7 linked regions of the Coturnix japonica genome follow. The protein of the gene in region 1 interacts with the protein of each later gene in a biochemical or structural test. Links are inferred from orthologs where the notes say so. Each region holds a gene or a part of one and is shown on either strand. Other genes may lie near its edges.

Region 1 (4,241 bases):
CCCCCAGCTCCTGCTTTCCCCACACCTATCTCAGTCCCCAGGTGCTTCTTTTTCCTGTTTCTTTGACAGCACTCATCCAGCCTTGATAACCCATCTGCTGTGCAGCAGCAAAGCGCTTCCACAGCACAGAGCTCAGCTGGTGTGGCTGTCTTATGGGGATCCAGAGAGCAGAACCCAGACTGAGAAGGGAGAAACTCGGCCAGGAGTGACTGTGTCCCAAAGCAAAACATTTTAAAGTCAACTGGAGGAGTCGGAGACTGCACAGTTTGGGCAGACAACACCATTTCACTACATTTCCTGTATACCAGGGGATGAATCACTCGGTTAAGTACATGGTGCACATCTGAATCTCTTTTATTTCCCTGCCCATCCTCTCCAGTGCATTTGCAGCCTCTGATCTGTTTCAGCAAGGCAGGACCTGCTGCCCCATGCTCTCCTGAGGTGCTGCTGTCAGCCTTGGGGATGCCACTTCAGACCCAAACACGAGCTTTTCTTCTGTTTCAGAAGTGATTCATGTAAATTCACGCAGCTAACAGCGCTCTATAAATAGACGGGTGGGCTTTGACACAGCTCCTGTGTGTGCCAAGAGCTGAAGCTAATAATAGCAGCTCACCCACCACGTCCGGGAGCGGGGATGTTCTGCAGGGGGAGGATGGGATGGGCTCAGCCTTGTGACAGAATCACAGTGAAGATATCACCATCCCACGGGCACTGCAGCACCTCTGTGCCATGATGTGGGGCTGCACACATGGCCTTGCTGCCCAGCAGTGTGGCATGGCACAAGGTTTCCCCCTGTGTGGCACTGCTCTGCTTCCCACTGCTGCTTTGCATAGTGCTGCCAGGGCTGGGGAAGCAAACATATCACATATCCCTGGATGGTGCCATCCTGTGGCACTGGGAGCAGTGTCTCTGCTTTCTGACGTGGCTTACAATGAGAATACAGCCTTAATAATCACCTGTGCTGGAAATAGCATTGGAAAGAAAAAAGACTGCGAGTGGCAAGGGGCAAAGTGACCCCAACTGGCAGCAAAAGGACTGAACCCCCTCTGCTATGGGCACAGCAGCTCAGGGTCTGTGGGATGCACAGAGGACTGGGGGGGGGGAGGGGGGGGTGTGATGGGCGTGGGAGCATCACTGTTAGGCAAACCCAAAAAGTCACTCCAATCGAACTGCAGAATTTGGATTGAAAACTGGAATATCTGAGCTGTGCTTTGCAAGGGAAAAACCTTCAGGGTTTCCTCTGCCGCAATCTCAAGAAATTCCACAGCTGCCTCTGCGTGGGGGGAGCGCTGCTGCCTCCGTGTGGGGGTGGGGAGGGCTGCAGCCCCCTGCTCTGCAATACCCCCCCCACCTCCCCTTGTGCGTGAACGGGATTCAATTCCTTTAAGGCTGCGTTTGCAGAGCCTGGGGCTTGGGGACCTGCAGCCCCACCCCAGGGCTCTGGAGCTGCCCGAAGGGGCACAGGGGATGTACCCAGAGGTATTTTTTATCCCTCATTGCTGCCACTCGGTTGCAGGAGGAAATGCGGATCTGCCAAAGGAAACAAACACCGTTCCTGTTTTCAAGAAGCAGGACAGGGAAAGGAAAGAAAAAAAGCAAGACTGTTCTGAATGCCTCCAAAAATCCTCCCTGCTGCTGTCTGCACCCATCTTTGGGGCACCGACGTCGTCGGACGCCAGTGGGAGAGCTCTTGAGGCTGCCCCCCACCGCCCCCAAGAGCTGCCATTGCTTTTCATCATCGCAGTTTTCCTTAATAAGTCCAGAGTTCGCTTCGAGTCACTTCTGGCTCTGCCTGACAGCGCTGCTCGCTTCCACGACAGCAGTTACTCGTGTACCCCGCAGCACGCCCGAAGCTTTCGTGGCACCCGGTTCTCGGCACGGACACCGCTGCGCCCCGACGTGCCCCGCAGGGTCCCCCTGTGACACAACCGCACCGCGGTGCCCGGAGCCGGGAGGGTCCGAGTGAGGGTGTGCAGAGCTCCCCATGCCCCTCCCGGCGCTCCCCGTCCCATACTCGGGCACGGAGCCCCGCAGCGCGGCGCTGCCCCGACGGGGCGGGCGTGGGCCGGGCCGGGGGCGGTGCGCGGGGCTCGTTGCTCCGCCGGGCGGTGCGCGGGGCAGCGCGGAGCGGAGCTGCCGGAGCGGCGGGGCCGGGCCCGGCATGCGCGGAAGATGGCGGCGGGCAGGCGAGGGGCGCGCAGCGGGCTGCTGGAGCTGCGCGGTCCCGGCGGACAGTGGCTTCGCGTCCTGCTCACCCTGAGCGATGACACCCTGAGCGTCAGCCCCGCCGACGGCCCCGGGCCCGGGGAGCCTCCGCCGGCTCAGCTGAACGGAGGGGAGCAGAGCTCCGGCGTGCCCGAGGCGCTCGCCAACATCAGGCGCACGGTGCGCGTCGTCAAACAGGACGTGGGGGGGCTCGGCATCAGCATCAAAGGTGAGGGGGGGGGAGTACCAGGAGTGGGCGGCGGCGGCGGCAGGTAGGACCTACGCTGCCCTGCTGCGACCGGAGGGCTCCGCCCGCGTGTCCTTGCGTCCTGCGTGACCCCGGTGCGGTGTCCCCTCCTGGCCGCCCCAAACGCAGCGCTCTGCCCCGGTCGGGTGTCCCCCGGTGTCCCCCGCCGCCCCCACCCCCGTCCTGGGGACTTTGCGGGAACTTCGGGCCGGGAACTTCGCGAGGGGGGGTGCGGGGGGCTGCCGCTGTCTGACGTGGCCGCATTGGGCTCAGCCTTCACCGCGCTCCTTGCCGGGCGCTGCTGGGTGGGGCGGTGTGTCGGGTGCGGGTCCCCGTGAGGGGTCCGGGGTGAGCCCTCACCGCTTGTTGGGGCTGTGGGTGCTGCAGCTCGGCAGCGCTTTTGGGAGGTGCAATCCCCCCTTGTAACCAACCCCGGGCTGCGAAGCGCTGCCGGCTCTGCGGCTCTCCCAGGAAAGGAGAAACGTTACTTGCTTCAGCTAAACTTTATTTTTGCAGTGACGTAGGTGGAAACCAAGGAGCCGTGATCCAAACGGGGAGCTGCAGGCGGGCGGGCAGCACTTGGGCTGCCTTGTGCCTCTGCTGCTTTGCAGGGGGGTGACCATGTGCCATTAAACGCAGCCAAACCTTGCTGTCCCTGCAGGGGGTGGGGGCATGGAGGGACGGGTACCCCGCTGCCAGCCAGCTCCTGTCCATGGCCCGTGGGACAGAATCTAAAATGGACCTTCTGGTTAAAGCATTTCAGCTGCATCCTAACCCCAGACAGTACTTCACTTGGGGTTTCTGGTGCTTCATGCAGCCCTGCAGGGTTAGGGTTAGCATCGTTAGGGTTAGGGTTAGGATCCTTCTCCTGCAGGGTCGTGTACCGCATGGTGCTCCGGGCGGTGGTTCCCTCTCCACGCACACAGCCCAGAATGGGTGGTTGCGAGGCGTTGCTTCCAAGCTGGGCTCGGCAGCCAGCAGCAGCCCCCGCGGGGGCCTCTTGACAGCTGATAGCCGGAGGAGCCCTCAGCTCCCGGAGAGGCTCTGCAGAAATCCGAGCGGAGCAATGCTGGCGGCACAGCGGGTGCAGCCCTGGGAGGTGTCACGCTGCCGGTCCCTGCCCGTGGGAGGGGGGTAGGGGGGAGTGAGGGGGTGCCCGGCACACGCTGTCCCAGCGCTGAGCGTGGGCAGCGCCAGGCGGGGCTGCTGGCATCTCCTACAGGTTCAGAACTTAAAGTGCAAATTGATCTCCTTGAGCTGCCCGGAGGCCTTGAGAGTGTCCTGGTGGGCTGAAGAGTGGGGAGCAGCCCGAATGGAGACAGAGAGGAGTGGGGAGCAGGTAGTCCTGCGGCTGAGCTGCTGCTCTGGGGCTCTTTTGCCTCTCCAGCACTCAGCTGCTGCCCCACTGAGACCGTGGGGTCCTGAGAGCAGGGAAGGCTGCTCAGCACACACAGTTAATAATGCAAATAGTGACACAGTTTCCTGCCAGAAGTGATGGGGAGGCGGTCAGGGCGTGTGTTTGTTCAGCAAGGAAATCTGCAGCCACTCGGATGGTTTTTTGAAGCACTTAACATGTGTCTGCCATAAAGCTCTGAGGTATTTGGGCACTGTGTGGGCACTGAGCAGCCCTGTGCCCCTAATTGCTCAGTGTCCCCTCACTGCTTGGTGCCCCTTCTGCCCGCAGGTGGCCGGGAGAACAAGATGCCCATCCTCATCTCCAAGATCTTCAAGGGACTGGCAGCAGACCAGACCGAGGCACTGTATGTGGGAGATGCCATCCTGTCCGTGA
Region 2 (3,500 bases), on another chromosome or scaffold:
TGGCTTAGCTGATGATCTGACCATCTGTGGGCACAAAAGATCCTGGGAATATTACTGTAATAACCTAGTTCATTGACCAAAGTTCACTATGAGTAAAGGCCTACAGATGAACTTTCCCAAACTATTATTGCTTTGTCATGTTGTCCTGTTTACAAATGTACTTTTATGAATTTTACTCTGCTATCAATCATGTTGAGGGTCCAAATAAAACTCTCATTGCAGACTGTTTGCAAAGGCATGGAGTACTCTCATTCCCTGTAAATATTGATCAATGTATCTTTGCCTGTGTGCACGAGCCCTGACTTGAGATGACTGAAGATTATTGTCAGCATATGACAGACGAGTGACTTCTGTCCTGTTAAACCTCTTAGGCATGGAAGTCTCTCACCACACTATTCTGCCAAATTGTAAAGCCTACCAGTAATCTAAACAAACAGTAAGAAGTTTGGCGATCCACTAGGATCTTATCAATGTTATAAAGCATGCTGAATACATATTAAAATAAAGGGCCTATTGTGCCCTGAGGAATGAGATAGTTGCTCTTCATTTCTGCTAGAACTCAGGATCAATTTTAAGGTGTTTGACTGGTTCACTAAAATTTAATAAATTCAATACACTGGGGGAACTGCGTAATTTGTTTCTTGCAGGATATTTGTAATTCACTTACATTTTATTTATGCTTCTTTCTATCACAGCTTAGTAATGATGAATTTTCTAACTATGCTAAGTGATATAGGGTTAGAGACAGATAAGACTTAACAGAACATATCCTAACTAAAATAAGAAGGAAGAAAATGTTTAATAACCATCTCAAAAATATGTTTTTTTTTTCTAGTTTAAATAAGAAATAAAAATGGGCAGCTTTTGATAAACATTTATATTTATATTCAGAGGCATCTATTACAGATATTTTCTTACTCTTGTGCAATACCAGCCTTATCACTTCTGTAAATCAAAACCTTTTGTATTGCTTTGATGGAGACTTGAAGTGACATTTATAGATATAAGAGACCTGTCTCAACTAATAGCAGTTCAGAAAGTTGCAAGGGGCATGGATTTATTGGAAGACAGATGAATGTAGAAGCCCAAAATAGTGAGGCTTTGCTCTCCTATTCGGGTAACAAAAAAGAAATATTTTTTCTTTCTTTCTTCCTATTTTCTTTCAGTGCCATCATCTATAATGAGAAAAGTATTTGTCTGTTGAAAAACAGCAACAGCAACAACAACCCAGCTACTAAAGTGTATGGCTTTGCACTGCTTATTGAAAGCCAGTGGTCTCACTTTGCACTTTTCACTGAAATCCAAAACCTGCATCCCAATAACTCATTATTCAAGGTGATAAAAGCTAGATACTTTGAGAAACAGCAAACAAGAGGGGCTATAAAAGCAGAAACCTCTCCTGTGTCTGTGCCAGCAGTGGCTGGTATATATCCTTGGTTGGATGTATTTGCAAAACAGGCTACATGTGACTTACAGTTAGGGAAGGTGAAAAATTAGGGAAATTATAGTATGTTTTGGCTTCCATCAGGGAAGAGGAGACAAAGCAAGTGTAAACTTCACACTTAGCTGGCTGGGATGGGAAGCTGAAAGCATGAAAGATTGAAAGGGCAGGCAAAAATGACTACTAGAATGAAGCAGTGTGTTTCAGGCATCCAAGGGTACCATTCAGGCATTCCTAGCTTCCACAGAAAGCAGCGGTTCCATGGGTAGTGGAAAAAAACACTCTTAAAGGACTGGAAAAATACTGAGAAAACAGACAACAAAGGGATGATGTGGCACAGTAGAGATATATGTATTTGACATGAGTGTCTTGTTATCCTATAGGTCTGAAACTTGAGGAAATGCAAGAAAAATTTGGGGAGGAATTCTTCAATATCTGCTTTGATGAGAATGAAAGAGTTCTTCGAGCTGTAGGTGGGACCCTTCAAGACTTCTTCAATGGCTTTGATGCTTTGCTGGAGCACATTAGAACTTCATTTGGAAGACAGGCCACCCTGGAATCCCCATCTTTCCTATGCAAAGAGCTCCCTGAAGGCAATCTCATGCTTCATTATTTTCACCCACATCAGATTGTAGGGTTTGCAATGGTGGGAATGATAAAGGCAGCAGCAAAGAAAATTTACCGCTTGGACGTGGAAGTAGAACAGGTCACTAACGATAAGCTGTGTTCAGAGGGGACGAACCCAGGCAATTGCAGCTGTCTGACTTTCCTTATCAAAGAACATGAAAATGCAAATATCACAAAAGCACTTCCATCGGGAACTTCCCACTCTCCCTTAGATCTGAGGATTAGTATCAGCACCTTCTGCAGAGCATTCCCCTTTCACCTGATGTTTGATCAAAACATGTTTATTCTTCAGCTGGGAGAAGGTCTAAGGAAGCAGCTCAGATGTGACACCCACAAAACTCTGAAATTCCAAGACTGCTTCGACATAGTTTCTCCTAAGATCAGTGCCACATTTGAACGAGTCCTCCTGAGGTTATCTACTCCCTTTGTTATTCGGACCAAACTTGAGGATACTGACTCTGAAAATAAAGACAAGGTAAGAGCATTAATTTGGAAGGGCTAACGTGTATATGTGTGTAATGAGAGAGGAGTTTTTGTACAGAAAGAAACATCTAAAGTCCCGTGTATTGTGGAAAGCTCAATTATGCTTTCTAAATAGGGTTAAGTGGTATTCCTCTGCCAAATGAGTATTTTCCTAAGTTATTTACAAGCTTTGCCTGAGATGTTGTGAATGGTGACATTGCCTTTGAGAAAATTCTCTTCAGTGAAGTTGCTTAGTTCAGTTTGAACCAGAAGAGTGAGGATTTTTAGAAAATGCCTATATCTAATCCTTAATGTCACTCCAGCTCTATTATGATAACAATAATAGTTATTAAATAGTTATTAAACAGGAGAATAGCTTTCAATATATATTTTTGAGAGACTCTTGCTTCAGGGCTCACATAGCTACTTTTATATCCTGCTTCCCAATTTGGAAACACTGCTTTTGTCTGTGTTTCTTCTCATCTCTCACCCTGCTTTCAAAGAACCAGAGCTGTAAAAGGTACCCGTATCACTGTAGACTAGTTTTAATGTTTCCCAGTCATTTAAAATAGTACTTGTCTTTCTACTTTGCCTCTTCCTTCAGTGTTTCAGAAGAGTTACTTCAACTAATGTGCCCTATATTGAATTCAGTGCATCCCATGTGAAATTGTCTTCCAGAACATACCTCCACAAAGACTTCTGCCTTATTGCATATCCTTGAATTAATAGAAAGCTTTTTGCTGCAAAGCAAGATTCCAGCTTTATGCACTAACACACTTAATATGCTGGACTTATATTGAAAGTGTATGCTAGGGTCCTTTGGAGATACTGCTGTCTTAAATGAAATAATTATTGATTTGCAGAATTTCTAAGAGCTAGTAACCGAAAATAGTCAATCCTATTCACACTGGATACTTACCTACCAAATTTCTTCTTAAAGGTGGCACGTATACAATTCAGATGGTCTGGA
Region 3 (3,500 bases), on another chromosome or scaffold:
AACCTCTCTCCAGGCGTAAGTGTGCAGCATGCAAGATCATAGTGCATACACCCTGCATAGAACAGCTGGAGAAAGTGAGTAAAACCTGTTAAGCCCTCTCTGTGGCTTGCAAAGCTCTGACAGTCTGATACTGGCCATTCATCTCTCTGGGGTAGCATAGGAGGGTTGGAAACTGAAATGTGTTGCTGGAAGGAGGGGTCCTATGAGGAGACAGTACCAAAAGGAGCGCTAATTACTCAACTGGGACCCCTGGACCCATTTTGTGTGGCGACAGAGGTGGTGGGTTTTGCAGTCAAGCACTGAACATTGCCAGAGGTTCTGCTATAGTAAAATAAACTCCAGTAGGTTTCCTCTTGGTGGTGATTTTACTGATTCCTATCATATGTATTCAATCCACAGATAAATTTCCGCTGCAAACCTTCCTTCAGGGAGTCAGGATCTCGGAACGTACGGGAGGTGAGACATGAGCCTTGGATGCTGCCTATGGCTGAGCTGTTGCCTTTACAGTTTGGTTGCAAAGGGATCAACTGCTGCCAGCGTGCTGCCTGTCAAAGTGCTGGCATTGCTCTGCCTTCTGGCTCCAGAGGGGAGGTGCAGTAAAGAATACTTCCTTGCCAAGCAGCAGTACAGTCTGAGTGTAAGAAGAGAGGAGACTGCAAGCAAAAGACAAAGCATCTGCTGCTTTGCATGTTATCTAGCTCCTGTATCTGCATGGGAGGAACATGCAAACAGGTTTTCCTGAGAGGGGCAAAGGACCTTTCCTTTGCTGATGTCCAAGTCAATAGAGGAGGCTGTGGCAAGCAGCAGTTCCCCAAGTTTCCCATGGATTGGCAGGGGGCAGTGCAGGCTCATTTCTTGCTTTATTGCTCAGCTTTGCCCTGGATGCTACGGGTGCTCCATACAGCGATGGAAGGTGCCCATGGTGGTGCTGTTAGACCTGTTTTGTCTGCGCTGTAATGTAGTGGGTGCAAGCTGAGACCTGGGACCTCTCTGCTGAGCTGCACTGGCGAAGCACCTGCCAGCCTTTGTAGCTCATCCTCCAGCCTCTTTCCAATACTCCTCAGTTTACCTAGGGGCCTCCCATTAACATAGAAAAGCATTCTTCCAGAATTTTGGCTGCCTGGGTCAGTCCCCCTACAATACTCAAAGACTACACTGTAAGGTATCCGTTCTTCTACCATCAGTGAGGCTGTGGGCAGGGAGAAGGTACCCATGAGCAATTCTGTTCCTCTCCTTACAGCAGGTCAGCAGGATTTTATTCGGGGAGAAGGCATGGGGGCTTTGGGGCTACTTCTTTCCTTGAAAAATACTGTTGCTAGGAGCAGGCAGTTGACTTGGCTGCAGGCACTCCCATCATCTTGCTGTGTGCAGAAACTGTGTCTCACTGGGGATTTTCACTTTGCACTGGCATCTTTTCTACCCTTCACTTCATGTCATCTGGTCAGAGATATTAAGAGATAAAGATGTGATTTATGGCCAGAGTAACGTTATAGTCTACTGCTTACCCACTCTGTTGTTCGCTTTCTGTGATTCTATCTTCAATTTCTGATGCTTCCTTTCTGATTTGGTTCTTTGTTTTATCTTGTTTTGATTTAATTTCCTCTTTTGTGAGCACCACAATTTGGTCTTGTGCCCCTAAGTTCTTTGGCTTTGCCTTCTTAGAGGTTAGGTGCTGGTGCAGATGGGCAGCAGGCTTACTGCAAGAGCAGAGGTTCTGGCTGGCCTGTGTCTGTTTCTCTTGCCTGTTCCTGTGTCTTTGTATGCATTGGGACTTTCACTTTTTTTTTCTTTATATTTTCCCTTTAGCCCATAGTTGTCCGGCATCACTGGGTGCATCGGAGGCGACAGGAAGGGAAATGCCGGCAGTGTGGCAAGGTGAGAGGCTTCTTGGTGTGTTTTTCCTCAGCCTGAAGGGGAGCTAAGATCAAACAAGGGGCAATAGCAGGACTGGGAAGTAAAAGAATTCCTGCCTAACATAACGCTATTCCTGCTAGGTAGGAGCAGCCTATAGCTAAACCAAGACTCATGGCCTGTTTCACACAGTGAAGCACTACATAAGTGCTACTCGTACAAAGTTGTTCTCCCCCTGGGCCCCATCAGTCCTAGAGGGGACTCACCATTCCTCCCGACTCACTATTCCTAGGCAATATAGATGCTCCTGCAAAGAGCACAGCAACCTCCCTGGTGCTGTAGTGTGGTGGTTGGGGTTATCTGACAGGGATCTAGAGGGCTGCAGCTGCAGGCATGTTCTCTTTGTTTATGTATCTTGGAAAGCCCTTCTGGACGGTGAAAAGCTGTAAGGGAATTCCCTAAGCCTCTTATCCTTCTCTCTGCAGGGTTTCCAGCAGAAGTTTGCCTTCCACAGTAAGGAGATTGTAGCCATCAGCTGTTCTTGGTGCAAGCAAGCGGTGAGCAAAGCCCCATTGAATATCTGCTCTAATGACCTCTGCTTTTTGCTGGGAACCCCCAGGCTTATCCTCTGCAGCCTGCCACTACAGCTACTCTTACCAACATAGCTGGGAGCTGCTATGGGAAGCTTTCTTAGTGCCTCCTAGGAGAAGCCTTTCCATTACAAAACTCCTGCATCATTTCCTGCAGCTCTCCTTTCACTGGCACAGGGCAGCTGGAAGGAGAAATGGAGTAGGCTGAGTTTTCTCTGTCTCTCTGCTTCTCCAGTATCACAGCAAAGTGTCCTGTTTCATGCTGCAACACATCGAAGAGCCCTGCTCACTAGGGGCTCATGCTGCTGTCGTCGTTCCTCCCACCTGGATTTTGCGGGTCCGACGGCCCCAGGTAAGGCATATCAGTTCATGTGTTTTTGCATGGCTCCTGTTTACCCAGCAGTTCCTCTATAGTGTTTGGGTTTCGTTTTTTTTTTTTCAGAATCCAATGAAATCCAGTAAGAAAAAGAAGAGGACATCATTCAAGAGAAAATTGAGCAAAAAGGGTGCTGAGGTAAGAGATAAGAGGGGCTGGGGGTGACCTTGTGTTGGAAAGGTAGAGGTGCTGGACAGTGAGGAGCAGAACTGGGAAATAAGGGCTCTTTTCAGGGTCTGCACTGAGGTATAAGGTAGAGGAAAAGGGGTCTGGGACAAAGAGTGTTTTGGGAGTGTCTGAAGATCTCAGAGGGTGTCACAGAGATGAGAAAGGCTGGGAGGTGAGTTATGTTTGCTGGCAAGGCATATCTTAGCTATTAGGTTTATGGAGTGGTGAGGATATTCTCTTCCTTCCACTCCTAACCTATGTGATGTTAGGGCTCAGCTGGAGGTAGGAGTTTGCATTTCACTAAGTCTGTTAATGGACCTGCGGTGTTTCTTGCAGGAAGGGAGGTGGAAACCTTTTGTCATCAAACCCATGCCAGCTCCTCTCATGAAGCCGTTGCTGGTGTTTGTGAACCCCAAGAGTGGTGGGAATCAGGTATGGCCTTGCCCTTCATCTTCCTGAGAAGGCAGCTCTTTGCCATTGGCTACTGAGAGCTCAGAACAGTTTTGGTAATGTGT
Region 4 (3,946 bases), on another chromosome or scaffold:
AATGCTGTGTGCGTATGAGTTATCAGAAACCACCATCCACTGAGAGACACAGAGGAAAGGACATCCCTGATTTTGGAACACTTTTGTGCAGCAGACTGAATGGGCTAAAAAAAGGACTAGCTTGCAATACTAACAGACTCCTACAATGATCATCCTCACTACTCATATGCATGTTTCATTTTATGGGTCAGGAACAGGTTTTTTCCTTTTCCAGAACAGCTTGAAATTTTTGGTCCCGCGGCTGTTCTACACAAGGTAGATTACAATTTAAACAAACAAAAGGGCAATTAGAAGTTGTTTTCACTTTTTTCCGTTACTTTCCTAACTTTATTCTGACCCTCCCTTTGGGGTCATTTATTTCTCATGTTAGTTAGTAGCTTTTCCCGTTTGGGGATTTGGTAGTTTTAGTGAAACATCTAAAGGAGAAAACCAAGCAAATTCTCTCCTTTTTTGGCGAAGAATGTTTGTTCTGCTAATATCTGAATAGAAAAACAACCTAATACTTGGGGCAAAAGCAGGGGACACCCTCAGGGGACATTTATCTGCTCCTAGGCTTGTTTGAACTTTTCAGGGGAGAGTGATTAAATCTCAAGAAATGACTTTTGCTTTGTATTTCTGTGTTGTTGGGTTTGTTGGTGTTGTTGATTGCTTGCTCGCTTGTTTGTTTGGTTTTTCTTTAGAATAATCTTGGGGTCTATACAAATAGAAATGTGTCATCTGAGACTATCCCAAAAGCCTTGCATATTTTCTTTGTTCGTGTCGGCTTCCCTTCCCTTCCTTTCCCTTCCCTCTCTCCCTTCCTTCCCTTCCCCTTCCTCCTTCCCTTCCCTTCCTTCCCCCATTCCCTTCCTTCCCTTCCCTTCCTTCCCTCCTTCCCTTCCTTCCCCTTCCCTTCCCTTCCCTTCTTCCCGTTCCCTTCCTTCCCTTCCCTTCCACTTCCCTTCCCTTCCTTCCTTCCTTCCCTTCCTTCCCTTCCTTCCCTTCCCTTCCCTTCCTTCCCTTCCCTCCCTTCTCGCCTTCCCTTCACCTTCCCTTCCCTTCCCTTTTTTCCTTCTTCTCTTCCTTCTCTCTTCATTTCATTCTTTCCCCTTTCTCTCTCTCCTTCTCCCTCTCTTTTTTCACTTTCTTTACTTTCTATTCTTACATTAGAAAGTAATTTAAGACACATTTACAAATCAACTTGTATTGTTTTAGATGGCATATAGTGGCACAGTTCTAAACTGAGATTTTTCCTTCAGATTTTATCCTCCCCAAATAGATTTCCTGCTCACTTTGTGTTTGTTTGTTTAAACTATGTCTCTTGGTATTGTGACAGCTCAGGACAATTTTCCATATACTGCCATTCAGTTCCCACAATAGTTAACTCCCAGGCTTTCAGACAGATGACTTGCCAACTACTGAGTGATGCCATTTGAAGCACAGAATCAGATGAAGGGCTCTTTCCTTGGTGTGCCTCAGTAATTTTGTGCAATGGGACAACTGCACACTTATTTTTGAGGGAGTCATGGTCAGAGTGCATTATTCGCTCTCCCTCTTACCAAAGACAAATGGTTGGAAAAGGTAACCTTCAGCTTCTTCAAGGAAGTTCTTCAGCAGCTTCAGGGAAATCTGAACAGACCGTGGATGTATCTGGAAGGAGAAGATTCTTTCCATTCTCTTCTCTGAATGTTTTCATGTGGGAATGACTGTAGTAAGTCCAGAACTTTTTGTTCTTCATTTCACTCTCCAGAAAGAAATAGTGTACTGATACAGATATATGAATCAAACACATAATCCAGTCTTTTCATATTGTTTTTTTTCTATTTCTTTTAACTGTTGAAGAAGATAGATTCTCCTCTTCTTTCCTCCTATGAAATTCTACCACACTTCCAGTAGCACAGTTTTTGAGCACCTTCCCTCTACAGCTTTTCCAGAACACTGCTTTAGGAACTTCTGCCACTCATTCCAGTCACTGCACTTACCTGCTTCATTCACGCTCACTTGTCTTCCACATTTCCAGCTATGTTGTTTGTTCCTTCCGACTGAGTCTCAGACGGTGGCACAGTCAACATACAGGTGAGATCATCATTACCATTTTTGTGCAGGTTTAAATGCCAGCCAGCCCTGAGGCTTCCCAGGTTGTTTACTAATGCTCTTTTTTAGACTGTGGTGTCCTGTCTGAAGAAGCTGTTGTGAACATGGGAAACCCAGGGCTCATGAGGGAAAATGTATGATTGGAGTCAGGGGCTCTGTTTCAGTAATGGTTACATGACTTATCTATCCCCAGTAAAACTTCTTTCCCTTGCATTTGATGTTCTTGACTGCTTGAGGATGTAGGTAAATTCCCATTATGGCATGTTAACAGCCTATATAGATGAACTGAGGCACATGGGCAAGCTTATTCCAGTAGTTATTCCTTGGAACAGCAGTAAATCAGCAAGGGCTCTGAGTTTACGTTATCTCCGAGGCAGGTAGGAAGTTAACAGGGAAGGGAGCATGACACAATCCTACACACCAATGAAAATCAACAGAAGCCAGTGCTACTTGCTGTCTCTTGTGGGATGAAAGGAGACCTTCAAAGGGAGAATTTGTTCCAAATCAACAGATCTAACCATTATAACAATAGCAGGGAACCTGAACAACTGCTTCTTGCAATGGGTTGGGTTTGTAACATTTTCAGGGTATTTGCAGTTCTGTTAAATGGTTCGCTATGGTTAAATTATGTTATACTGGAGTTGGACTCAGTGATCCTTGTGGGTTCACTCCAACTCAGGATATTCTATGATTCTATGAGTGTATACTTTGATAAATGATACTTAAAGTTGGACAAACATGGGACTGACTCAAAACTAAGACATTTTCCATTCCCACGACTTTACACTTTGAGGAAATATTGAGCTGAGTAACTACATACTAATTTTACTTAATAAATTAAATCTTTCTGGAAAAGGTATTGGTATCAAGTTTTTGACACACAGCATTTTGTGTTGTGCCAGATTCACCTGAAATACATATGTATGGCTTCAAATTATCATCACTAGCTTTAAAGGGAGCTGAACAGAACTGTCTGGGAACAATCCAGTGCTCTAGTAAGAGCCACCAATCCTGTATGTGATCGCTGCATTATGGGACTTTGCAATGTGACAGAGAGGTTGCATGTTCAGGAGCTCTGCAAGCGCATCTCTGTGACTGTGGTTTAGCATCCCTAAACTGAACCCCACAGAGAGGGAAGCTCAGTGTTTTTGCTAGCATGATAGGCCTAGAAATCTTTAATACTTGCTTAGAATATTTGCAGCGGGGTTTCAGCTAGCATTAGTATATCAGAGATAGTTTTCCTTTGCTAAGGCTTTCAGATCTGACCAGAAAACCAGGGTCCACAAAGTAGAAAGAAGGGGAGGGAAGGAACACACAATATTCACAGTATATTTTTATACATATTTACAGAAGGAAGAGCTGAGCTATCCAAACTTGAGCTTTCCCCATGGATGAGTCAAACATAACGTTTCATCCCAGCGAAGGCACAGAGAACATCTCAATGCACAGAAACATTTCTACACAGGAAAGAGTCTGGGAGATATTGACCCCACTTTGGGTAATTATGATCATCTCCTTCCTGGGTTTTTGTGAAAATGGAATTGTCCTCTGGTGCCTCTGCTTCCAGATCAAAAGAAATCCATTCACTGCGTACATCACACACCTGTCCATTGCTGACATCTCCTTACTGTTTTGTGTATTTATTCTGTCGATTGAGTACATTGCTGGCTTTGGATTCGCGTATGGCTTTTACTACTATATAACCACCACACTGTCTATTGTCTTTCTTCTTGGATATAATACTGGTCTCTATCTCCTGACAGCCATCAGTATTGAGAGGTGTCTGTCTATTGTTTACCCCATCTGGTACCGCTGCCACCGGTCACGGCACCAATCAGCAATTGTATGCGCAATTCTATGGACTCTGTCTTTT
Region 5 (4,299 bases), on another chromosome or scaffold:
TACATGATCCTCGAGGTCCCTTCCAACCCGGGTAATTCTGTGATTCTGTGATTCTGTGATTCTGTGACAGACTGTGCTGGTGAGGTGGAGAGAAAGGCACTGGTCAGCCAGAGGTTTAGATGGGACAAGACCTTATTTTCCCCTTATTTTCCCCTTATTTTCCCACTTTCCCACACTTGTTCCTCCCTAAATGACCAAGATTATTCCCTTCTTCCACTTCTGATTCTTTGCCTAATTGTAAGTCGTGCGGAACGTGCGTCCCCATCCCGACCTGAAAGGAGCTCCGACATGGCTCAGGGCGTTGGGCTTCACACCTGGACAATGGGGCAGCCCCGGGAGGGGCCCAGCCAGGTGATATTTCCTCTGAGCCCTCAATTCCTTTCCCATCTGCCATTTTGCCCCTCTGGGCATGTGGAGATGCGACTTTGATGTGCTAATAGCTCCGGTGATGGGCCGAGGAGGATCCGGGCAGGGCTTTATTGTGTCTTATCCCCTCTCGTCATTGTCTCTCCGTGCTCCTCTGCGGGAGTGCAGATGAGCTTTTATCATGTAACCTAAGCAAGAGGAATTTGCAGGCTTCCTTTTACACAACAGCGCTTTTTTTGTTGTTGTTTTTTTCCTCCCCTCCTGGTGGCGTCATTATTTTAACACCACAAAAAGGCCCGTGAAATGATGAGCGCACCCCGCATAATTTTCGTTGCCATTGCAAGGCAATGACATTATGACAATTTCCTCTGACTGTAACCTCACAGCCCTTCCCCACGTCTGGGCTGTTACCATTCTCAGAGCGCCCGAAAGCTGATGAATTCAGTGCAGATGCGTGTTGTTTGAGAACACACACACACACACATATATATACAGATATATATAGTCTGGAATTAAAAGTACAGCTCTTCATTGCTCTCCTGGTAGAGACGTGGCAGTTTCCATTTATTTATTTATTTATTTAACCTATAGGATGGGCTGCAAATGAATTTATAACATAGGAGCCAGTTCGATTGGTGAGAGTGCTAATATGGGACTAAGAGCAGCTGCAAAGACACACCCCAGGCTTTATCCCCATGGCTTATTTATTTATTTATTTATTTAATATATATCTATGAGCAAAACAAATGACAAAGCAAAAAAAACCCCCACCCAAACATCCAGAAATCTCCACAAAATACGACCGAACCGGCACCCTACGTCGCTTCTGCTTTGCTCTCGTGTTCGTTCCCGTGCCCGAGCGTTTCTAACTCTAGCTCCAAAAACAACCTTCTCCACGCAAATCCAGCGGTGCGTGATACCATCAGCTGATGCTTTGCGCAGCGTCAGACCCGCAGGAGCCGCCCCGCACCCTCACTCTTCCCTCAGCCAAATCCCATCCTGCACATCCCCCAAAACTCTTGGACGTGGGGTGAACCGAGGGCTCGCATCCCCCACACCTCGGCCACTCCCCCCCCCCCGGCTCCTCCTCCGTCCCCCACCCAGAGCAGCTCATAAAAAGGCGGATGCCCGGGGGGGCTGGGTTCGCTGTTACGTAGACGGTGTAGCGGTGCGTGTTCGTGGGCGGGGTGCGGGTTGGGCTCTGTTGGCTGCGTGCGGGTGCCGGAGCCGTTCACCGGAGCCGTTGGCAGGAGGCGATGGCTGACAAGGTGAGGGATGCGGCCGGAGCTGATGCAGAGCTGGGGCCGCTGCCTGAGTGTGCCGGGAGGGTCGTTTTCATGGGGTGCTGGGCTCTCTCTCGTCTGTAGTGTGGGGAATATGGTCGCGGTTCATTGCCGTAGCGTTAACCTCCGCTGTCGGCTTATGGCGAGGGGAGATGCGGTGGCGGGGCTGGCTCTTGTCTATCATGGAAGGACGGGGAGCTTATCGGGGAAGGTTTGATGCAGGCCATGCCGTTGAGCTGTTTTGGTGCGTGTGATGCCATTAGTGCTTAATTAGCTTCGATCACGGCGTGCCTTTTGTTGGCTGGGTGGTGGTCATTGCCCCGGAGTTAACGGCAGCGGGTCCGTGATGCTAAAATGAGAGCTGTTCAAACAGGCGTTTCGTCGGCGGCGCTGCGGCTTATGTTAAAACGATCACTCTGTTTCTGGAGGGAAATAGAGACGAGCCCTTTCCCTTTTCTACTGTAGAGAACGGGGGGAGAGCCTTTATCGATTCTCGGCCTGTGCACTGTTGGGTTTTATAGTGCGTCTGGGCTCATCCAGGGAGCGGAGCCGCTGCCCTGGAGCAGGACGCCGAGGTGTTTCTACTCTTGGTGCTCGCCCCTGTGTTAACGGGCGATGGGGGGAGTGTGGTAGAGCTGAGACACAAGGAGAGAACGAGCTGACCAAAAGCCTCGCGGAGAGCGGCAGACGCTTCTCGAGCTGGCCTTAAACGTTACGCTACGTGCTGAGGTCGCTGCCAGTAAAGCGGTTGCTAGCTCGATGCTGCTGCTGGGTCCTCATGCTGCTGGTGGGCAGAGAGGAGGAGTGTTTGAGCATCTAAGCACTGTATAGGCCTCAACCTTGGGCTTTTACATGGGGTGGGTGCTGTGGTGTTATTTCTGAGCGTCTCCATTTTGAGAAGTGTTGTGCTAGCGGTTAACAAATGGTCAGTACGTAAACTGTGGGCTCACACTGGAGTGGCTGGTTCAGGCCGTGTGATATCTTAGGCGGTGTGAGACTGGATGGGAGTTGGATAACTGGCATTAGTCAGGAAAATGGAGTATGAGAGGTGGTGAGAACGAATTAACCTTGTTATTACTTGCTTCTGTATGGACCACGTAGGCAAGATCACAAAGCAAGTGTCCTATAATTCCTGCTGCATCCAAAGGAAAAGGGTCAGCTATGACTACTACAAGCAGGGGCCCTGAGGGGAAGGAAGGATGCTTTTGTGTCACATACTGTGTTGGAAGTGTGGATAGCTGAACTTTGCTGCTATACCTGCTAAGGGGGATAAGTCCTGGAGTCTTGAAAGGGCTTAATATGTCTTAATTGTGACATCGAGGTGCTTTGGAAGGTCGGTTCTGTGCCAGAATTTCTTGTACCAAAAAGGGAATGGTTGCATGATGGCAGATAGAAGGCCTGCCTTGTTTGGAGTATGTTCAGCTGTGAATCTTAGCATGAGAATCATCTGCTCCATGCAGGAATATATGAATATATCCCTTTTCTCCAGCATTAACCTTATCAGGAAGAGACCTTAACACAAGACATTTAAAAGATGTAGCTGAGGGAAATGGTGCATTAATTTACTTTCTTCTTATTGAGGCCTAACTGGTAGCTTTGTGGGGCTGTACTGGCCAGAAGCACTTGCATTCCTGAAAGTCTGGTACAGGTAGCATGAAAACTGACAGCCTACTGGAGCCAATTGGAAAATGAGAGCCTGGAGGAGCTGTGGCAGCAGGCCCCATGGAGTACTTCATCCTCCCCTGTCAGCCTTAGGAGAATAATTGGAAGGCCTTGTTGTACTTTGAAAGCTTTTAATTGCTCCTGCAGCAGAAAGGAGTTGTTTTCGCCCTCCTACCTCCTTGTCTGCAAAGCTTAAGCCAGCTGTCTCCTCCCCACCCCCCAAAACAAAACAAAACCCTGGGAAATAGCAGATGCTTTTCTCTGACAGTTAAGTCTATCAGTCCCAAGGACTTCTGCAGGTTAGAGCTGCTTCCTCTACAGTGTTGAGTAGTTATTAAGTTAAAAATATATATATGAAAGATTCACATGTACTTATATTCCAGGAGCTGTGCTTTGCTTTGAATATTTGCTATTGGCTCAGTGGCAGGAAAAATAAATGAGGAATGCTGGCAGCACAGCCTTTTCTGTGAGGGAGGCTCTTGGTTGCAGTTGGCCCAGTTGTCTTCTATTTATGCTGAAGAGAAACTTATGTAGAAAGCGTGAACTCCCAATTAACTAAATAATTGCATTTTCTTTTTTTTTTTTTTTATTCAGCAACTTACTGCTCCGCTAATCTATGCTGTTTCTGTTGCTGCCATTGGATCTCTTCAGTTTGGGTACAACACCGGTGTCATTAATGCTCCAGAGAAGGTGAGAGTTGGGGAATGAGCTGGGGAGGAAAATGTATAAATGTGTTGGGGAAGAAAAGAGCATAAAGGACAGGAGCTGTCAGGCAAATAGTTTTGGTTGTGGTGGTTGAATTAAAGGAAAGAAGGCATTCAAAGGACAGGAAAGTTAATGGGGAAGAGAGATCACAGTGAATGATCAAAATTCACTGAAAATTCAGCTGAACGAAAGGGGTCAACTGCATCAGGGATTGTCATTTTGTTTCTTAGTAAGCCTTATCTTCCCCCTGCCCCTTTAGGGCACGAGAGGAGAGGAAACACAA
Region 6 (4,242 bases), on another chromosome or scaffold:
GTGATGACTAGATTACAAGAAATAAGTGGCAGTAGGAGCTAGAGAGAATGGTAGGTTTGGGTATGGATGTGCTGGAGTGTATGAAACTGACAGCACATGTGCATGTACTCAGGGTAAAAAATGTTTTTTGCTAACTCACAGGTATAAGGAGAAATATATTCTTTATTAGAGAGCATCAGGTTAAAACATGAGTCATACATCTCACTTGTTATGTCTGCATGTCATACTTTCTCTCCAATATCTTTGCTTCCTACTAGATGGTCTGCTCTTCTCATTTCACAATACTCAGAAAATTTGGAATGCTAAATAAGAATTGCCCTTTAAAATTTGCTTTTGGAATAGATTTTTCTTCCCACCCTTTCCTCCCCTCTTCCCTTGTACCCACATACACAGATAACATCCTAAGTTCTCAGAAATGTTGGAGCTGCAAAGAAGGTGCCCAGAGAACATAGCTGTGCTTTCCAACTGTGTCAGTTAGCAATGTGCATTTTCCTCATCAGGATCTCAGAGCAGCTCTAGAAAATATACTGTAATTTTGTTTCTAGGAATTACTTGTGTGAGTAAGTTCTCAATGGCAGAGCAGGTCAGTGATTCCATGCTTAGCTCTCAGAGGCAACTTTTAGATCACAGACAAATCATCATTTATAATAATCATTCAATATAATTATGGTTTTCTGTTTTGGCATGGCTTATAATATCTTTAGGCATATTTCATAAACAGAGGTAATGGTTTAAATTAAGTGAAAACTCATTAATCCCAGTTATTCTACATTTGATGAATATCATTACTACTGCAAGGATTCAAATATCACTGCAGTGATGCCACCTAGAAGGCAAAATGTTTTTTCCATTTAGTATCATCTTTTACAACTGATGTTGTGCATATATATATATATGTATATGTATAGGTTTTAATCCTGTGTTGTTTATGTATATATTTAGAATATGTTGTCTTCTAGACCTTGAAGTTCACAGTTTGAACCCAGGAAATAAGACCACAGCATCGATCATATTACTGAAGTGTAACCAAAGTCATCATATAAAGCTACTTCAATTCATTTTCTTTAATAAAATGCATATATTTTGAAGTGTGTCAGCCTTGGATGTGGGTTTAAGAAATCATTGAAGGCAAAGTATGGTCCCAAATTATAAATGCTAACATTCGGGTAATCCAGTGTAACGTTTGCTATCTGCTGGCCTCAGAAGCACCTTTTGGAACTACATGTTAAGGGCGGGGAAAGGATGGGAGCAAAGCAAAACAGATCCCATCCCTTTCTTTGTTCTCATTAAGCTGTGAAGGCAGGAGGATTCAGCAGGCACCAAGAGGCGCTCTGGATTTCATTTGAGACAATTCCAGCCGGAGACTTCCCCTGCTCAAGGGATGCGTACCCGCTCGGGGTAACACCGTGATTCCCTCCGCTTGGGCACGGAGTGGCTGGGCTGGAGCACGGATGCTGTCGGTCCCACCTGCGGGGCGGGGCGCTGCTGCGGCAGCCCGATGCCGGGGGAAGCTGGCGCCGCCACCGCTGGGGAGAAGGGATCCTCGCTGACGTCAAATCATCAGAATGATCGCTCGTTCATATCCGGGTCCCCGAACGGCTTCCCCAGGCCGCGCTCGGCCGCCGAGCACTGAGGGATAGGCGGGCAGGGCAGGGCAGGGCAGGGCAGGGCCGCCGCCCACCCATCCGGAGGTGGATGGCGGCAGCGAGGCGTCGTGCATAGAATGCCCGCCACCTCAGCGGAGCCCGCCTGCTGCCGCTGCCCATGGAGATCGCGCTGGTGACTCTGGAGAACGGCGGTGGCGGGGCCATCCCGGCCGGCGAGGATGCCACGGCCGGTAACGCCGGCGGTAGCAGCAGGGCTCGGAGACGGCGCGATCTACGCCACACCGCGGGATCCCCGTCTGTTCCGAGACTGAGCGACGGCAAGGAGGGAACCCCACCGGCATCACCGCCGCCGCAGGTCGAAGAGGAGCGGGAGGGGCCCCCGCTTGCCCCTCCAGGAGGCGGCGGGAGGCGCCGCAGCAGCAGCGAGGGCGGCATCAGCGGCCGGGCGGCGTCGGGACCCCAACCGCAACCAAACGCACCGTGCCCCGGGCCGGCTTCGGAAATGGATCCCCCGGAGGAAGGGGGTCACCGCCGGGGCATGGCCATGGCAGCAGGCAGCGAGGAGGAGGAGATGAAGGCAGCGAGCCGGGGTGCAATGCATCATCAGAGGGTGCTAATCAATATCTCTGGGCTGCACTTTGAGACTCAGCTGGGCACCCTCAACCAGTTTCCTGACACACTGTTGGGTGATCCAGCAAAGCGAGGCAGATACTTTGACCCTCTCAGAAATGAATACTTCTTTGATAGGAACCGGCCCAGCTTTGATGGCATCCTGTACTATTACCAGTCTGGGGGCAAGCTCCGCCGGCCTATCAATGTCTCCATTGATGTCTTTGCTGATGAGATCCGCTTCTACCAGCTGGGGAAGGAGGCCATGGAGCGCTTCCGGGAGGATGAGGGTTTCATCAGAGAAGAGGACAAGCCCCTTCCCCACAACGAGTTTCAGCGCCAGGTCTGGCTCATCTTTGAGTACCCTGAGAGTTCCAGCTCAGCCCGGGCCATCGCCATTGTCTCCGTCTTGGTCATCCTTATCTCCATCATCATCTTCTGCCTGGAGACTCTGCCTGAATTCAGGGATGAACGAGAGATACCCATGTTCTTGCCCCCGCAAAGTGGAGGTTTGAATGCCACAGCTGGAGACTCCTCACCCATGCAGTCACTGAGTAGCCTCTCTGACCCATTCTTCATCATTGAGACCACTTGTGTCATCTGGTTCACCTTTGAGCTCCTTGTGCGTTTCTTCACCTGCCCCAGCAAGCCAGAGTTCTCCCGCAACATCATGAACATCATTGACATCGTGGCCATTATCCCCTACTTCATCACGCTGGGCACAGAATTGGCCAATGAACAACAGCAGCCTGGAGGTAGCAGCAGCAATGGGAGTGGAGGCCAGCAACAAGCCATGTCCTTGGCCATCCTCCGAGTCATCCGCTTGGTGCGGGTCTTCCGGATCTTCAAGCTGTCCCGGCACTCCAAGGGGCTGCAGATCCTGGGGCAGACCCTCAAGGCCAGCATGCGGGAGCTGGGTTTGCTCATCTTCTTCCTCTTCATCGGCGTCATCCTCTTCTCCAGCGCTGTCTACTTTGCTGAGGCTGATGACCCTGAGTCTCATTTCTCCAGCATCCCTGATGCTTTCTGGTGGGCTGTGGTGACCATGACCACTGTGGGCTATGGGGACATGCGACCTGTTTCTGTGGGGGGCAAGATCGTGGGGTCCTTGTGTGCCATTGCTGGTGTGCTCACCATTGCCCTGCCTGTCCCTGTTATTGTGTCCAACTTCAACTACTTCTACCACCGAGAGACTGACCATGAAGAGCAAGCTATGCTCAAAGAAGAACACAGTAGTGCTCAGGACAGTGTAACTGGGGTAGATGGAAAGAGAAGATGCAGTAAAAGCTCTCTGGACAAATCTGTTGTGCACTTGGAAAATAATGAAGAGTTCAAAAGCAGTGCCAGCCCTTTAAAGAAAACCAATATCAAAGCTAAAAGTAACGTAGATCTCAGAAAATCACTATATGCCCTCTGTCTGGATAGCAGCAGGGAAACAGACCTGTGAGGAAAGGAGAGAATTGTAGTTAGAGATGCAGCAGAATTTGCTGGTGTCAGAAACTTACTACTATATTATTTTCCTACCAATTTTGTTGTTTTTTTGGTTTGTTTGTTTGTTAGGTTTTTAAATCAGACTATATTTTGTAATTTGATCACTGTCCTGAGCAGTCCTCCGGGAATAAATGTTTTTATGTTCTTTTTCCATGACACAAATGGTCACCTGTTTTTAAAATAGATTCAGTAAACTATTCTCCGTGATGCAGGAGCTGGTAAATTATGAAAATACAAAATCTAATTTTTAGAAACTTTTATTAGCAAATGATGGTTGGTTTGAAATGGTCATTTGTAATCAATACATTTTCTGCAGATTATTAAAGAGCTGGGGGACATGTGCAGAGAATGAGTGAGTTTTGGAGTGTGAGAGAACAATGAGAGTTTTCAGTTTCAAACTGAAAATATTCTAATTTATTTTGTGTCTACATCAATATATTTATCGATGAAATGGGATTTCCTATTACTGAGACATTCCACTCCATTAAAGCACTAGGAATACTGGCAGATCAGCACTTCTAGAGTTTTCCACTTG
Region 7 (4,022 bases), on another chromosome or scaffold:
AAGGCAAGATTCACATTTCCATTGCAGAAAGCCTCAGGAATGCATTGAATGCATTCTGATCACAGCTTGGGCTTCTGGTACATAGACTACCAGGCTGCAAAGAGGCAGCTGGAATGGAAGCAGCCTCACAGCTGTATCTGTAACATCACCAGAGAGTGAGTTCTGGGGATTTGCGACAGGACTCGGAATTACATCCCTACCGGCCAGCACAGGGATGAATCCTTTCTTAGGTATTCATAGGGTACAACACGTCCTCATTAACACTTCTCCCCCCACCAATTACATGGCCCCCTTGCCAAAGCATCACTAAATCACACTGTGAAGCTACTGCACTGTTCTATGCATCATTTTGCTTCCAGAATGGTGCCACGAGTTTCATGAACGACGGCTTAAACACAAAGCCCACGAGGCTGCCCAAGTCCTGTCCGCGCGTCACGAGTTCCACGCTCCGAGTTCCCGCAGCGCCGAGCAGCGCTCCGCCGTCACGGGCGGGCACAAGAAGGGCACACGGCCGGCTCCGAGCCCGGGCCAGTCCCGCAGCACCGCCCTCCTGAGGCCTCCGCACAGCACAGCACCGCACAGCACCGCACAGCACAGCACCGCACAGCACCGCACAGCACAGCACCGCACAGCACAGCACAGCACAGCACAGCACCGCACAGCACAGCACCGCACAGCACCGCACAGCACAGCACAGCACCGCACAGCACAGCACCGCACAGCACAGCACAGCACAGCACCGCACAGCACAGCACAGCACAGCACAGCACAGCACCAGCACACACCCACAGCACCGCACAGCACAGCACAGCACCGCACAGCACAGCACAGCACAGCACAGCACAGCACCGCACAGCACCGCACAGCACAGCACCGCACAGCAGCGCACAGCACAGCACAGCACAGCACCGCACAGCACAGCACCGCACAGCACAGCACAGCACCGCACAGCACAGCACAGCACCGCACAGCGCTCAGCAGCGCCGCATACACAGCCGGACTAAGAGCAGCCCGTCCCGCAGCGGTTCAGAGGATCCGAAGTTTCCGCGGCCGTTGCATAACCGCGGCGGGGCGGTGCGGGGCGGTGCGGGGCGGTGCGGGGCGGTGCGGGGCGGGGCAGTCCCGTCCTGTCCCGTCCTGTCCTCGCCCCGGGGTGGCTCGGCTCGGCCCGGGGGAGGCGCCGCGCTGCCCGTGTGCTGACCCGCCCTTCCCTGCTCCGGGCCGGGCCGTGGTTGGAGGGCGCAGAGGCGGCCGGACGGCGCTGCCCCGGGGCCGCCTGCCGTTCCGCGCGGCGCGTCCCCAAGGCGGCGGTGCCGGCCCCGTCCCCGTCCGTGCCCTGCCGTCTCCTGCCCTCCGCCGGGGCTGACCGGGGGAACATGAACCCCGCGGCCCCGCCGCCGGGGCAGCAGGTGATCCATGTCACGCAGGACCTGGACACGGAGCTCGAGGCGCTGTTCAACGCGGTCATGAACCCCCGGCCTAGCTCCTGGCGGAAGAAAATCCTGCCCGAGTCCTTCTTCAAGGAGCCCGACTCGGGCTCGCACTCCCGGCAGTCCAGCACGGACTCGGGCGCTCCCCCGCCGCGGCCCGTCGCGGCGCAGCACGTCCGCTCGCACTCTTCCCCCGCGTCGCTCGTGGGCTCGGCCGCCGCGCCTCAGCACGGGCACCTCCGGCAGCGCTCCTACGACGTGACGGACGAGCTGCCGCTGCCGCCCGGCTGGGAGATGGCGCTCACGCACACGGGACAGCGCTACTTCCTCAAGTGAGCGAGCGCGGCGCCGGGCGGGTCGGGCGCGGGCAGCGGGGGCTGAGCTGGGTGCGACGGGGGACGGAGGGGCCCGGGGCGGCGGCGGGACGGGGCACGGCGGGGTTTGGGCCGAGGAGTCGCCGCCCGCCCGAGCAGTTCCCGGCTTCTAGTGCCGTCCCGCCGCTGCCGCTGCCCGCTCGGGGTCCCAGCACGAACGTTCGCGATCCGAGCTCAGCGCCGCGTGGTGACGAGCTGTGCGGGGTGGGCGCGGGGCTCCCCTGCTTTGGGGATGTGCTGGGACGGGTGTGACAGCCGCGCTGCCGGTCCGCTGTGAACAAAGTGTGTTCGTGACGTTTGGAATTTGGTTCAGAGCAGCTTAATAGGGCTGGGAACAGGCTGTAGTTGTAATATGTGCTAAGGCAGCGGCACCTTGTTGCGGTGGGTTCTGTACCTCTGCTCCGGATTCACTGTAGATGAAGTGGCACTGTGGTAACCTGGCAAAGGCATCGCTGCAGAATGTTTAATGGCTTGAGCTCGAAGTGAGCGCTAAAGGCCGCCTGGTCTCACTCCACTGCAATACAGGGACAGCCACAGCTCCATCAGCTGCTCAGAGCCCCATCCAGGCTGACCTGGAGCTGCTGCAGGGATGGGGCACCCGCTGCCTCTTTGGGCAACCTGTGCCAGTCCCTCACCACTCTTATTGTAAGAACTTTTTTTCTTATATCCAGTCTAAATCTCCCCTCTTTTAACCTGAAACCATTTCCCCATGTCTTGACACAACAGGTCCTGCTAGTGAGTCTGTCCCCTTCTGTCTTGCAGCCCCTTTAGGTACTGGCAGACTGCTCTCAGATCTCCCTGAGCTTTCCCCAGGCTGAACGGCCCCAGCTCTCAGCCTGTCCAGGCAGGGAGAATGTTCCAGCCCTTGGATCACCCCTTGCCCTGCTCTGAGCACACTCCAGCAGGTCCATCTCTCCCCTGTGCTGAGGACTCCACATCTGAATGCAGTGCTCCAAGTGTTTTCTAATGGAATAAATAGTGGAGTTGGGCTATGGGATTGCCCACCTATTTTCTGTCAGAATAGACACATCTTGAGCTCGTGTGAGACTGTGTGTCTGTGTGTATTCAGCCATACCAAGCACATGGTAGGACTTGAGAAAGGCAGGGAATGTTCTTTTCCGGTAAAAGTAACTAAATACACATTTGTATGATTCTATAATGATTTCTTTTCTTTGTGGCTTTGGAATCTCCAGAGATCCCAGTCCTTGAATTCCTTTTTACAGTCTGGGTTGTGCTTGTCACCATCAGACCAAAGAGTGGAAATACATTTCTTTTTGCCATTCTGTATGTCAGTGTGTGGGAGTGCTCACAAGGGCCCAGATTTGTGTCTGCTAATCTGGTTTATCACCTCACTGAGACGTTACCACTGCACTTTGCATGCATTTTTCTCAGTAGAGCAGTACAGAGGAAGGGGAGCTTATGGATAGCAACACTGTGGCAGATTGTTCCTGAATAAATACTTTATATACATTCTTGCTAGGGCTTGGCAAGCAAGTGTTCACACTCCAGCTATAGATCACATAACATAATCTTTGTCTGCCATTTGGCTCTGACTGATATCAAAATGTGCTCACACGGTTTCACCTTCGCCTGTCCCGCATTTCTGACATAGACACACAATGTTCCAAGACGCTGAATTGTTGTTGGGTCTAAAAAATGGTGGGTCCTGTATTTAAAAAAGCTGTGGATAAAACCCCACCGCATCTTTCATGTTTTCCCAAGTTGTATCAACAGTAATGCTCTGATTAACAACATCCTTTTAATATCAGGCCAATTTTTCATTGTGTTAGTAATTTGTTACTTACGTTAGTCTGTGTGTTGTTTCTCAGTGAGCCCTTTGCCCATTTCCAGAAAAACTCATTGGAAAATCTTTTTTTTAAATTTTTTTTTTAATTTTTTTTTTTTTTTTAAAGAGTTCAGTGCTTCTGGCTGCAGTGCCTAACTATAAATCAATCCTGGTTGAACCACAGTATTTTGCAAGCTATATCATTTTATTTATTTTTTTTTAAGGTGAAAATAGCATTTTCTGCAAAAATTTAAAGTTGTTTATGGAAAGTCACATTTAAAGCTATGCAATATTATGTAGGATTCAAGTTAGATCATGCATTTAAAATCCTGTTTGGTCAAACCAAGCCCACTAGGTTACATTTACCACAGACAGTAAATTCAGGGGATGTCTGTCAAAAAACTGCTGTTTCTTTCCAGCCTGATGATAAAA

What was found.
Region 2: the proteins of SNTA1 (region 1) and GUCY1A2 interact in a test that uses a peptide from one of them, tested with the Homo sapiens proteins (3 studies listed by BioGRID and IntAct, with this or other methods). The link is inferred for Coturnix japonica from reciprocal best matches to the Homo sapiens genes SNTA1 and GUCY1A2.
Region 3: the proteins of SNTA1 (region 1) and DGKZ form a complex in vitro, tested with the Homo sapiens proteins (2 studies listed by BioGRID and IntAct, with this or other methods). The link is inferred for Coturnix japonica from reciprocal best matches to the Homo sapiens genes SNTA1 and DGKZ.
Region 4: the proteins of SNTA1 (region 1) and MAS1 interact in a test that uses a peptide from one of them, tested with the Homo sapiens proteins (2 studies listed by BioGRID and IntAct). The link is inferred for Coturnix japonica from reciprocal best matches to the Homo sapiens genes SNTA1 and MAS1.
Region 5: the proteins of SNTA1 (region 1) and solute carrier family 2, facilitated glucose transporter member 3 interact in a test that uses a peptide from one of them, tested with the Homo sapiens proteins (2 studies listed by BioGRID and IntAct). The link is inferred for Coturnix japonica from reciprocal best matches to the Homo sapiens genes SNTA1 and SLC2A3.
Region 6: the proteins of SNTA1 (region 1) and potassium voltage-gated channel subfamily A member 5-like interact in a test that uses a peptide from one of them, tested with the Homo sapiens proteins (2 studies listed by BioGRID and IntAct). The link is inferred for Coturnix japonica from reciprocal best matches to the Homo sapiens genes SNTA1 and KCNA5.
Region 7: the proteins of SNTA1 (region 1) and WWTR1 interact in a test that uses a peptide from one of them, tested with the Homo sapiens proteins (2 studies listed by IntAct, with this or other methods). The link is inferred for Coturnix japonica from reciprocal best matches to the Homo sapiens genes SNTA1 and WWTR1.

Annotation. Positions count from the first base shown.
Region 1 is NC_029535.1:2,063,043-2,067,283, forward strand, and holds the start of SNTA1 (alpha-1-syntrophin), read left to right. Parts: upstream 1-1,441; 5' UTR 1,442-2,172; coding exon 2,173-2,434; intron 2,435-4,136; coding exon 4,137-4,241. UniProt on the Homo sapiens protein: Adapter protein that binds to and probably organizes the subcellular localization of a variety of membrane proteins. May link various receptors to the actin cytoskeleton and the extracellular matrix via the dystrophin glycoprotein complex.
Region 2 is NC_029516.1:161,711,204-161,714,703, forward strand, and holds part of GUCY1A2 (guanylate cyclase soluble subunit alpha-2), read left to right. Parts: intron 1-1,824; coding exon 1,825-2,543; intron 2,544-3,500. UniProt on the Homo sapiens protein: Has guanylyl cyclase on binding to the beta-1 subunit. Isoform 2 acts as a negative regulator of guanylyl cyclase activity as it forms non-functional heterodimers with the beta subunits.
Region 3 is NC_029520.1:21,140,665-21,144,164, reverse strand, and holds part of DGKZ (diacylglycerol kinase zeta), read left to right. Parts: coding exon 1-74; intron 75-399; coding exon 400-456; intron 457-1,806; coding exon 1,807-1,875; intron 1,876-2,336; coding exon 2,337-2,408; intron 2,409-2,676; coding exon 2,677-2,955; intron 2,956-3,321; coding exon 3,322-3,417; intron 3,418-3,500. UniProt on the Homo sapiens protein: Diacylglycerol kinase that converts diacylglycerol/DAG into phosphatidic acid/phosphatidate/PA and regulates the respective levels of these two bioactive lipids.
Region 4 is NC_029518.1:40,978,390-40,982,335, reverse strand, and holds the start of MAS1 (proto-oncogene Mas), read left to right. Parts: upstream 1-1,146; 5' UTR 1,147-3,460; coding exon 3,461-3,946. UniProt on the Homo sapiens protein: Receptor for angiotensin 1-7. Acts specifically as a functional antagonist of AGTR1 (angiotensin-2 type 1 receptor), although it up-regulates AGTR1 receptor levels.
Region 5 is NC_029516.1:68,505,604-68,509,902, forward strand, and holds the start of solute carrier family 2, facilitated glucose transporter member 3, read left to right. Parts: upstream 1-1,499; 5' UTR 1,500-1,622; coding exon 1,623-1,634; intron 1,635-3,905; coding exon 3,906-4,001; intron 4,002-4,299. UniProt on the Homo sapiens protein: Facilitative glucose transporter. Can also mediate the uptake of various other monosaccharides across the cell membrane. Mediates the uptake of glucose, 2-deoxyglucose, galactose, mannose, xylose and fucose, and probably also dehydroascorbate.
Region 6 is NC_029516.1:67,514,949-67,519,190, forward strand, and holds the start of potassium voltage-gated channel subfamily A member 5-like, read left to right. Parts: upstream 1-1,442; 5' UTR 1,443-1,764; coding exon 1,765-3,663; 3' UTR 3,664-4,242. UniProt on the Homo sapiens protein: Voltage-gated potassium channel that mediates transmembrane potassium transport in excitable membranes. Forms tetrameric potassium-selective channels through which potassium ions pass in accordance with their electrochemical gradient.
Region 7 is NC_029524.1:21,153,223-21,157,244, forward strand, and holds the start of WWTR1 (WW domain-containing transcription regulator protein 1), read left to right. Parts: upstream 1-1,222; 5' UTR 1,223-1,376; coding exon 1,377-1,762; intron 1,763-4,022. UniProt on the Homo sapiens protein: Transcriptional coactivator which acts as a downstream regulatory target in the Hippo signaling pathway that plays a pivotal role in organ size control and tumor suppression by restricting proliferation and promoting apoptosis.